Diceros bicornis minor: one gene and its partners. The protein of the gene in region 1 interacts with the protein of each later gene in a pairwise test. Links are inferred from orthologs where the notes say so. Each region holds a gene or a part of one and is shown on either strand. Other genes may lie near its edges.

The links.
Region 2: the proteins of L3MBTL2 (region 1) and MEAF6 interact in binary tests that used the Homo sapiens proteins (3 or more experiments, as listed by UniProt). The two-hybrid records come from large-scale screens. The link is inferred for Diceros bicornis minor from reciprocal best matches to the Homo sapiens genes L3MBTL2 and MEAF6.
Region 3: the proteins of L3MBTL2 (region 1) and PAICS interact in binary tests that used the Homo sapiens proteins (3 or more experiments, as listed by UniProt). The two-hybrid records come from large-scale screens. The link is inferred for Diceros bicornis minor from reciprocal best matches to the Homo sapiens genes L3MBTL2 and PAICS.

Annotation. Positions count from the first base shown.
Region 1 is NC_080764.1:9,162,598-9,166,344, reverse strand, and holds the start of L3MBTL2 (lethal(3)malignant brain tumor-like protein 2), read left to right. Parts: upstream 1-910; 5' UTR 911-992; coding exon 993-1,016; intron 1,017-1,362; coding exon 1,363-1,603; intron 1,604-3,220; coding exon 3,221-3,354; intron 3,355-3,747. UniProt on the Homo sapiens protein: Putative Polycomb group (PcG) protein. PcG proteins maintain the transcriptionally repressive state of genes, probably via a modification of chromatin, rendering it heritably changed in its expressibility.
Region 2 is NC_080752.1:51,572,371-51,576,117, forward strand, and holds the start of MEAF6 (chromatin modification-related protein MEAF6), read right to left. Parts: upstream 2,779-3,747; 5' UTR 2,749-2,778; coding exon 2,659-2,748; intron 1,504-2,658; coding exon 1,388-1,503; intron 1-1,387.
Region 3 is NC_080747.1:44,044,280-44,048,026, reverse strand, and holds the start of PAICS (bifunctional phosphoribosylaminoimidazole carboxylase/phosphoribosylaminoimidazole succinocarboxamide synthetase), read right to left. Parts: upstream 2,628-3,747; 5' UTR 2,556-2,627; intron 2,239-2,555; 5' UTR 2,188-2,238; coding exon 2,172-2,187; intron 1-2,171. Other genes in the region: PPAT (amidophosphoribosyltransferase), read left to right, coding at 3,015-3,142. UniProt on the Homo sapiens protein: Bifunctional phosphoribosylaminoimidazole carboxylase and phosphoribosylaminoimidazole succinocarboxamide synthetase catalyzing two reactions of the de novo purine biosynthetic pathway.

The DNA of each region.
Region 1 (3,747 bases):
ATATTTTGGAGGTAGAAGAACCAACAGTACTTGTCCATAATGTGGATATTGGGGTTGGGGATAGAAGGGATTGAAGGAAAGAAAAAAATTAAGGAAGATTTTCACATCTATGTGGTGAACCTCAAATTTAGAAATATATTTAACATATATTCAGCCTCCACTTATTACATTTAATTTCTTAATTAATTGGAGCACAGCATAGCATAGGCAAAGAACTTGGACTAAATCTTAAATTCCAGTCCTATGTGATCTTGGAAAGTGTCTAAACCCTAACAGCCACTGTTGCCTCATCTTTAAAACGATGATTGGATGTCTGCGGATTTGAGATGTTTGTAAAGCTCCACAAGAATGCCTAGAGCTCCCAGCGTGTAAGAAGGTTGTGGGAAATCCAAACGCGACGAGGTGGCGAGCCTCATAGTCCAGGTTTTATTTAGAAGATGGTGACGGAGGGCGAGTGTTGCAGGATTTTGAGCATGCAGGACATCTACAGCATTGGGCATAAGAGTATTCCAGTCGGCCTGAATTGGAAATGAGTCTCTCTGCTAGGCATTCCGGCCCAACGGCACCTGAAATTTCTAATCAGGGAGAATGCGAGGTTATCCCTGCAGCCTGGAACAGTACCTGACTACCGTAGGTGCTCAATAATTGTTTAATGAAGGATGGGGTAGGGGTGAAGGGAAGACGCTGACGTAGAGGTAGGAAAACTGTCCGCAACAGCCGCTGGAAGGCCCGAGCTCGGGATTTTCACGTCGCTGTAGCAACGCCCCGCTCCACGCGCACGCACCCGGGAACTACAAGTCCCACAAGCGTCCGCGGCTTTCCCGCCCCCGGGGAGGAGGGGCGCGAGCGAGCGCGGAACCAGCTTTCCCTCTTTCCTGAAGCGTGATTGGTCCGCGGCTCTGGGAGACGGCCAATGAGTGCGCTCGCGAGAGCGGCGAGGCCAATATGGCTTCCTGCGCCTGGTGACGGTTAAAGACCCTGTCTTGGGTCTCATGGAGAAGCCCCGGGGAGTCGAGGTGAGGGGGGAAGGACTTATCGTGACTGAGAAGGGGAACCCCGAGAGCCTCACTCGTGGACCCTTTAGGCCTTTTAGTGAAGGCTGGAGGGCGGAGTGTGGAAAGATGGATAGACGGAGGTAGTTAGGCTTGACCCGGGCCAGAGGCGGTCGCTGTTGCCTGTTGAGAAATGTATAAACAAGAGTAATGATCCTGGTGTTTGCAAAAGGGGTATTTGATTCTGCCTGCCACTTTGCCCAAGAGTGTTGACTTCACCAAGAACTGGAACGGGAGCTGGTAGATCTGCCACCTCCCTCCCCATACACTAAACCAACCATGATTCCTTCTGCCTGTTTCCTTCCACCAGGAGACTCCGTCTTCAGAACCAATGGAGGAAGAAGAGGAAGATGACGACTTGGAGCTCTTTGGTGGCTATGACAGTTTCCGGAGTTATAACAGCAGTGCGGGCAGTGAGAGCAGCTCCTACCTAGAGGAGTCAAGTGAAGCAGAAAATGAGGATCGGGAAGCAGGGGAGCTGCCCACTTCCCCGCTGCATTTGCTCAGCCCTGGGACTCCCCGCTCCTTGGATGGCAGTGGTTCTGAGCCAGGTGCCTTCAGAGTGCCCCCTGAAGATGGGGAGGTTTCAGGAGGCTATGGAGGAAGAGGGGGATAGAGCCATGTGGGCAGAGCCCTCCAGGTGTAAAGGGCTGTTTGATCTGATGTCTAAGGGCCTGTGAGAGAGACAGAGCATCCCAAGTAGCCCCAAGGGTCATTTCTTCTGCAGTAGTCTGATTTCGTTCATACAACTAGTATTTATTTAGCACACATTACATGCCAGTCATTAACATGGTGCTGCTTGTACATTTGTGTGAATAGCTAGTGGATTTCTAAGCCTGGAGGTTGAGAAGGTAGAACACTTGTTCTGGTTACTATCTGGGTAGGGACAAGAAATAGCTTGCGGGGTGGGAGTGAGGGGGAGGGAAATATAGAATAAAGTGACCTCCAAGTAAGAGGAGTAGGGTGGAGGTGAGCAGATAAGAATCCCCATGGATCATCTGGAAGCCACTTGGCTTCAGAGTTGTGATCTTGGACAGCTGCTGGACCCCACTGTCAGTGCCTCCAGCGTGTGGACTGCCTGTGAAAAGAGGCCGGCTAGACAATTTGTAATAACACTCCTGTTGCTTGGTACCTGAACTTTTCAGAAGAGAATACTCTTGCCAGTTGAATCTTATTTCCTTTCTATTTGTCATGTCTTCCCTTCCTCTCTCCTTTCTTTTATCTTTCTCCCCTCTATCTTCTTCAACCATTCTTTTAGAATCTTAGAACTTTAGAACTAGAAGGAACCATTAGAGACCATCTAGTGCAGGGGTTCTTTAGCCTGGCTGTGCATTAGAATCACCTGGGGGGAGGGGGCGGGCCCCGTGGCTTAGCCGTTAAGCGTGCGTGCTCTGCTACTGGCGGCCGGGGTTCGGATCCTGGCCGTGCACCGACGCACCGCTTGTTGGGCCATGCTGAGGCGGCGTCCCACATACAGCAACTAGAAGGATGTGCAACTATGACATACAACTATCTACTGGGGCTTTGGGGAGGAAAAAAAGCAAAAAAAAAAAGAGGAGGATTGGCAATAGATGTTAGCTCAGGGCCCGTCTTCCTCAGCAAAAAGAGGAGAATTGGCATGGATGTTAGCTCAGGGCTGATCTGCCTCACACACACACACACACAAAAAAGAATCGCTTGGGGAGCTTCTAACAAACTGGAAATGCCTGGGTCCCACCACAGACCAGCTAATTAGAATCTCAGGCTTGGGCAGTTTTAAAAGCTCCTCAAGTGATTCTAATACGATGTCAAGGTTGAAACATTGATTTAGTTCAGTCTCTTTATAGAAGAGAAGAAAATGGACCCACAGAAGTTAAGTGATGTGAGCACTTTTTTCCTTCTCAGTTTTCTCTTCGCAAACTTTCCTCACCTGTTTCCTCTGTCATCCTCATGGATTTTCCTTAGCGCCACTGTTGACACGTGTAGCCAAGGGATGCCAAGCAGCTTATCTTGGGTGAAATAGGTTCAGATGGACACCCCAGAACTTCCTTCTCTTCCAGTTCTGCCAGCCTTAGGGGGACTGAGACTTAACCCGGTAAATGCAGTGCCCCAGCTTTTGAAGGGCCCATCGTTTTGTTTGATTTGGGGTAACCGCATCAGGTGAGTCATGTGCTAAGTTCTCTTCCCAGCTGTCTGTGAGATGTGTGGTATCGTGGGTACAAGGGAAGCCTTCTTCTCCAAGACCAAGAGATTCTGCAGTGTCTCCTGTTCCAGGAGCTACTCCTCCAACTCCAAGAAAGCCAGTATCTTGGCTAGATTACAGGTGAGAGGCAGGTATTTGGAAGACCCTTCCCAGGGCCCTGGGTGCTGAGATAGCAACAACAATTGACTGATGGCAAGGGGCCAGGAGGGCTAGGGAAGGACCTTGCTTATGGCTGTCTGAGGTTGTAAATTTCATGGTATTATGTTCTCAAACCGTACAGGGCAGGGGAATCCATTTATGGAGCTTGTTAAATTGCAGATTCCTGGGGCTACCCTCCATTCCCCACCCTCACCCCTCAGAGTCTGATATGTTCAGTAAGTTTTAAACAAGAACTTTGAGGGAGTCTGATGCCCTTGGTCTTCCCACCATACTTTTTTTGTGTGTGTGAGGAGATCAGCCCTGTGCTAACATCTGCCAATCCTCCTCTTTTTTTTGCTGAGGAAGACTGGCTCT
Region 2 (3,747 bases), on another chromosome or scaffold:
TAGGTAAGAAAAATGTTCTTATTCTTAGGAGGTAATAGCTGGCATAATCAGGGGCAAAGTGTTATGATATATCTGCTTTTAACCTTTAAATGGTTTAGCAAAAAAAAAAAGTATGGGGAGGGCCGGCCTCGTGGCTTAGCGGTTAAGTGCGCGCACTCTGCTACTGGCCGCCCAGGTTCAGATCCCGGGCGCGCACCGACGCACCGCTTCTCCGGCCATGCTGAGGCCACATCCCACATACAGCACCTAGAAGGATGTGCAACTATGACGTACAACTATCTACTGGGGCTTTGGGGGGGAAAAAAAAAAGTATGGGGAAAGGGGTGATATAACCACAAAGAGGCAGCCTGAGGGAGATCCTTGTGGTGATGGAACAATTCTGTATCTTGTTTTGTTTTTTTATTTATTTTTCCCCCAAAGCCCCAGTAGATAGTTGTATGTCATAGTTTCACATCCTTCTAGTTGCTGTATGTGGGACGCGGCCCCAGCATGGCCAGAGAAGCGGCGTGTCGGTGCGTGCCCGGGATCCGAACCCAGGCCACCAGCAGCAGAGCGCGCGCACCCAACTGCTAAGCCACGGGGCCAGCCCCAATTCTGTATCTTGATTGCAGAGGTGGTTACAGGCATCTACACACATGATAAAATGACAGAACTACATATACACATTGTATCGATGTCAATTTCCTGGTTTTGATAGTGCACTAGAGTTACATAAAACCCAACCATTGGGGAAAACTGGGTGAAGGGTACATGAGACCTCCCTGTACTGTTTTTGCAACTTCCTACGTATCTATAATTATTTCAAAATTTTTTTAACAAGTTAAGTATAGATAGATGTGTGTGTTTACATATATTATAGAGAGAGGAAGAGAAAAGAAAGAGAGAAAGCAAATGTGGCAACAAGTTAACAAGTGGTGAATGCTGGTGAAGGGTAACAAGTGTTCATGCACTATGCTTTCAATTTTTCCATAGATTTGAAAAATTTCAAAAAGTTCAGACAGTTTTCAAAAATAATATTACTAAATAAATAGTAGTACAGTTGGCACACAGGTATGGCAAATATCGTGAGGGCGGAGCTCATGACTGATTAAAATGTGGAAAATACTAACAAGAGAGCTGCTGTGTAAAGTATTATATGCTGTACTTCATTTAAGCCTCACACAACCCTGTGCCATAGGCTGGACTTTCTACTTTAGTGATGTAGGATTTGTCCGGAATTACTCAGTGAAGCAATGGCTGAGCCAGAGTCCAAGTTCAAGCCCAGATCTCTTTCCCCACCACCACTTTATTACTGCCTCCCTGCAAACTTGCCACCAAGAATACATATATCCTTAAAAACAAATACTACTAGGGTACAACACAAACACTGCAGGCTTCTGACACTCACTTTTGGTTGGTCAGATACCGATCCCAGCCACGAATAATGTTGCCATACATCTGAGTGTCCTCCAGGTAGCTCCCTTCAAACGCATAGATCTGTCTCTCCAAGTTTGCCAGTGTTTCCTGAGAGATGAAAAACAAGGAAAATGGATAATGCCTTTGAAACGCAAACGTTAAGTCTGATCAAACTGAAAACTCAAGCTCAACTACACTAAACCACCCTGGTAGAAAGACGGATCATATGGGGAGGGGCACGCTGCTTCAGACTAAGCCAGTCTAGACCTGTCTTGTTGGATCCCTTTGAGAATAGAATGGAATAGACAGAGCGCGTCCCCAGAAAAATATACACGCGTGCAAAATTGTCCATATATTTCAGAGGGTTCATAGAAACCTAGCTGTCAAGAACCCCGGCTGAGGCAGAACGTGAGCGGTCGCCACTCCCACGCATAAAAGGTACCGCTACCGGGGAGAAGGAAGGCTGCGCAGCCTCCTGCGCCAACTCGCTCCCCTCCCGGAAGGCTCAGAGAGGCCGCCTGCGCTAGGCTGCCAGTTGCTATGGAAACCTGGAAGGGCAGCTTCAGGTGAGATGGGCCTCCCGCTGCCCAAGCCAAAACGCCATGGGGAGGGAGGGCTTAGCCATCAGGGTGCATGGGACCCTGGCTGCATGTCACAATTCATAATTCCCTAGACTGAGCCCGTTCCCCTCGCCTGTCACTTTCTAGATGTTCCCAAACACATCACATCTGCCCATCAAAAACCCCATCCAACGGATCTACTCCTAGTTCCCAAAAGGACATGCGCCCCTCCATCCTCCAAAGGCCAGACTGGATAACAAGGTGCCCCTCCCATACCCGCCCTGGTGCTACCCCACCCGCCCCAAAGCCCACCGGCAAGCCCGAACCAATCTCCTACAGCCCACCGACACGCCCGCCCCAACCCCCAAAGATCGCGGACCCGCCCGCTTTCCCCCAGCCCGCAGAGCTCACGGACACTCGCCTTTCCAGGCTCCCACGCACAAGCCCCCACTCCCAGGCGCATCGTGCCTCCACGCCCCCGCCCGCCCGGCCCCCTCCCCGGCTCCGCGCCCCGCCCCCGGCCCCGGCCCCGGCCCCCGCTCCGCACGGCCGCGACGCCGAGGCGCCGGCGGGCCGCGGAATGCGCAGCCCGGCCTCGGCCACCGGACTCCCGGGGTAACGGCCTGGCGCGGCGGGGCTGGGGCCCGGAGGCGCGCGCGGGCGCGGGGCACCCACCCGGGCGCCCCGAGTGCCAGCCCCTCACCGCCAGCTCCTGCTTCCGCTTCACGAGCTCCGCCAGCTCCCGCCGGGTGTCCGGGATCTGCGGCGGCGCCGCCTTGTTGTGCATCGCCATGTTGGGCTGAGGCGGGCGGCGGCGGCGCCAGCTGGGGGCGGTCCCTGCGCGCCGCCGCCCGCCAGGGGGCGCCTGCGCCGCACTGCGCCTGCGCGCCCGGCTTCCGGAGCCGCGCGCCGCGCTCTCGGCCTCGGGCTCTCGCGCGCCTCGCCTCGGGCGTTAGCGCTCTGCTCCTGGTCGTAGCCGTGTTTCTCCCCTGGCTGGACGTCTGGGCTTTACGGACGCCACGAATTCACCGTGTCCAAAACTAACCTCCTCCTAAGTCGCCTCAGTGAACGACTTGCACTGTCCACCCAATTGCCCAAGTCAGAAACCTGAGTATCATGCTCATTCTCCTTCACCCCCTTAATCCCATGCAAAACCAAATCCTGTGGACTCGACTCCAGAAGAGCCCGCAAATCCGTTTGCTTTTGTCTGCCACCTCCCTCGTTCATCCAGGCCCTCCCTACTGTTGGCTACATTATTCCAACAGCCTCCTGTTTCCACCGTTAGCTCTATTTAGTCCATTATCCACAGTGGTGCCAGAGGATTTGTTTGTGGAAAACAAACGTGGTGTCTCTCCCCTGGTTAAAATCTTTCAATGGCTTCCCATTGCCCTTTCGAGAGACAAGTATGTGCAGCGGTTAAGGACGCAAACTGGAGCCGAAACTACCGTATTCAAAATCCTGCCTCTACCGTTGATCAGCTGTGCCGCCTAGGGCAGGCAGCTAAATTTCATTGTCCCAACTTCCTCATCTATAAAACATAGGTAGTAATGGTACCTACCAAATAAAATTGCTGTGAGGAGTAAATCGCTTAATGTAGGGGCTTGGCAAGTAATAGGGACTACGTATAAGTATTAGCATTTATCTTTAAGCCCAGCATCCTTAACTTTGTTTTCACTTGGCCCCTGCTTCTTCCCCAGCTCTCTCTATTTTTCAGGGTTCTGCAATTTCACTATCGCGAATGGGATTTTTTTTTTTCATTTTTTTTTTTCTTCCTCGCTTGGATATCTTTCAG
Region 3 (3,747 bases), on another chromosome or scaffold:
GAGACTGAGAGCAGTTAGCATGCTATTGCAGCAATCAAGGCAAGAAATGTCCTGGTCTAAGTAAAAAGCAGTGGCAAAAGATTCAAGATATTTAAAAGGTAAACATTTTAAGAACAATTGATTCAATATGGAGGATAACAGAGAGGGAAGAGTTGGGGGCAGATCCCGTGGCCCAGCGGTTAAGCGTGTGCGCTCCGCTGCTGGTGGCCCAGGTTTGGATCCCAGACGCCCACGGATTCACCGCTTGTCAGGCCACGCTGTGGCGGCGTCCCATATAAAGTGGAGGAAGATGGGCACGGAAGTTAGCCCAGGGCCAGTCTTCCTCAGCAAAAAGAGGTGGATTGGTATGGATGTTAGGTCAGGGCTGATCTTTCTCACCAAAAAAAAAAAAAAAGAGAGAGAAGAAAGAGTTAAGGATGTTGCCTAGGTTAGATAAAAGGCAAATGAAAGTTTGTACCTCCTGCCCCTCTCTCCCTATTTAATTGAATCAATATTTATTATGTAGTTGATAAATAGGGTAGGAATTTCAATTAATGGGTAGAAATAACGTAAGAAACAATCATAGGACACATATGCTACAAGTGCCAAAATGCCTGCTACAAATTCATAGATGAATTCAGAAGAGACTGCTGAAGACTGAGAATAATTCGTGGAATTGAAATGTTAGAGTCTTGAAAAGTAAAGAACCTCCACAGAAGAGGTAAGAACATCTAGGACTGCGCTGTGCAATAAGGTTGCCACTAGCCACATGTGGCTATGAAACACTTGAAATGTGGCTACTCCAAATTGAGATGTGAGTTAAGTGTAAAATACACAATGGATTGCAATATGGAAAAAAAGGATGCAAAATATTCCAATTTTTTATATTGATTACATGTTGAAATGATACTATTTTGTATATATCAGGTTAAATAAAACACATTAAAATTAATTTCACCTGTTTCTTTTTACATTTTAAAATGTGGCTACTAGAAAACAAAGTTACATATAGTTTCATATTATATTTCTATTAGAGAGGACTGTTCTAGAAGAAACAGTATAATAAACATAGAGAAGAGTAAACTTGTTGAATTAACCTGACTGGAATGTAGGCTTAGGATTCACAAGAGAGAAAAATTAAAGTTAGGGCTGAAGAGGTTGGAAGCAAGCAGTACGCAGGATGTGAATGAAAGTGTCTTCAGAATGGATTTTAACAGCACTTAGATTGCTATTGAACATTTTTGAGCAAGGAAGTGCCATTTAGGAACCATGAAAGTGAAATCTTAGAAATATTAACCTGTCAAGAATACGTAAGATGGAAGAGTCAAAAGCTCAGAGATTCTACCAGTTTAGAGGCATGGCAGGAAAAATTCTGGTCTAATACCTTGATTTTACGGAGTTGTTACTCGTGATCATCTGGAGCTTTTTGTTTAGTCTGTAATTTTTTACCTAAATTCAAATTTTCTACCTGGAAGAGAACGTACTGACTGGGCAACACCAGCAATTTGGTTCACCACAAATTTAGAAATTGAGTGTGTGGAGAAAACAAACGTTTTATCAGCATAAATGGCACAAATGATCGTTCCCGAGGATCTGACCACTCACGCACAAAATGATTACGTAAATAAGTAAACATGATAAATGCACACTGAAGCAAGGAAAACTTTTTTGGCCTGGTGGTTTTGGAGCTCTCCACAGCCATCATGGCATTAAAAGATTACTTTAACAAACACACACAAAATCTGGACAGAAAACAGCAAGATTTTTGGAAGGCTCAATTATTAACTTGCTGGAATAGCAGGTTACTATTAACCTAACAAGAAAAGCAAGACCTTGGTTTGAAGAGTCAACACTAGAGGTTCCTGTGGTTGTTTTACAACATCTACTGATTACAAACGCCATTTCCAGGCACCTCTCCAACCCCTGGCCATTTCTCGTTCTTCTTCCCCATCCCGGGGGCAGCTGTGGGTGTTGCAGCAAGTTCGGAGAGGCCCGGGAGCGCTTTGTTCAACGCACTTCTCGGCGGAACCTGGGCCACGTGTCCGCCGCCTAGAGGGGCCGCTGCAGGGAGACCCAGCACCGCCCCAGGAAGGATGCCGTCCGCGCGAGCCCGCGAGCTCAAGGCCGGGGGACGCGAAGACCGAGGAGGACAGGGCGGCCCCGGCGTACTCCTATGGAAGCCTGTTACTCACCCTCAGCAGTCGCCATGATCCTGCGTGGGCTCGGGGCCGCGGCCGCGCTAGGAAGAGAGGCAGGACTCTGGAAAAGAGGAGTGGCCAGAGACGCTCACAGACACGCCTCCGGAGCGCCCACCCGCGCTCTCTGCCAGCACCACAGCAAGGGCACAACCCTGGGCCTTTCCGCAGACACCTAGGAACTTACACTCCGGCAGCGAGCGCTTCCCCTAGGTTTCCCGCCGCGCAAGCGCAGCAACGCAGACCCTCCCCCCGCCCGCGCGGGCGCTGTGGCAGGAAAGGTGAAATGTGGCGCGCACTGGAAGCCCCTCCCCATTCTACAGCAGCTCGCGACCCGGGCCCCATTTCCGCAGCGCGTGCAGGTCACAGATTGGAGCGTACCAAGTAGTGACGGGCGGGGAAAAGCCTGTGGGGAGGGCACGCAAAGTTTATATCTTCTGGGAGAGAAATGATGTTAACCCCGCTAGTCTCATCACCCCCGCATTAGGCTCTGGAAAATAACGGAGATTTCCACGTGCAGAAAAATCAGTTCCCCTAGGCCTCTGGTGGAGGACTAGCTCCACCCCACAGAATCCGAGACTCCGCCCTCAGCCGCAGAGCCTCTCCCTCCGTCCTCGCTCATTGGTGGGCCCGGAGGGGGCGGGGCAGGGTGATGGGGGGGAGCTAATCACGCTCTCTCAGGCAAAGCTCGCGCCGCCGCAGTAGCAAGGGTCTAACCGCTGTGAAGGAAGAAGCTCTCGCGGGCGCGAGCTTCTGAGGCGTTCGGGCCAAGCGGGCGGGTGGTTAGTGCTTAGACCCCTGCTGCAGCGGCAGGTCCTTCCACGTGCTTTTGGCGGCGACATGGAGCTGGAGGAGTTGGGGATCCGAGAGGAATGTGGCGTGTTCGGGTGCATCGCCTCAGGAGAGTGGCCCACGCAGCTAGATGTGCCGCATGTGATCACTCTGGGACTCGTGGGGCTACAGCACCGGTGAGCAGCCGGGTGAGGCGGGGGGGTGGCGGCGCGTGTGCTTCTCCATCTGCCCGAGGCGCCTCCCGCGGCCTGAACTGGCGATCTCGCGCGCGCTCCTGAGGGCCGGGAGGCCAGACCTTTCTTACCTGGACCGGTACTTGCCTGTGGCATCGACCAGGTTGCCAAGGCGTGCTCGGGGGGCCACCCTGCCTCTCTGGACTTTAGCTTGTCCCCCCAACCCCTGATGCTCCCTAGATGCCCTCTCCCCTCCTCCAGTTTGTGCATGCCTCTTGAGTCTGACCAGTTTGTAAGGCTCGGGTTCGCTTGGGCTAGCGTGGTCCGTGCTCCTCCCGACTGCTTGCTGGTTTTCCTCTCCCAGAGCCTCAGCTGCTCTTGTTATAGGCTGGTGTAGGGTGGCTGCTGGTCCAGGACCTACAGCACCTTGAGATGTTGGTGCGGAGCCTCCAAACACCACAAGCTTTTGTTTGCTTGCAAGGGCAGAGCTATTGAGCAGATTGAGGATTTGGAGGTAGTTATAGGTAGGGGAACTTGAGGGAAACAGGACTAGTTGGTGTTCAAAAGGAACTACCAGTTGAAGATCTTATATAAATTAACTGAAAATA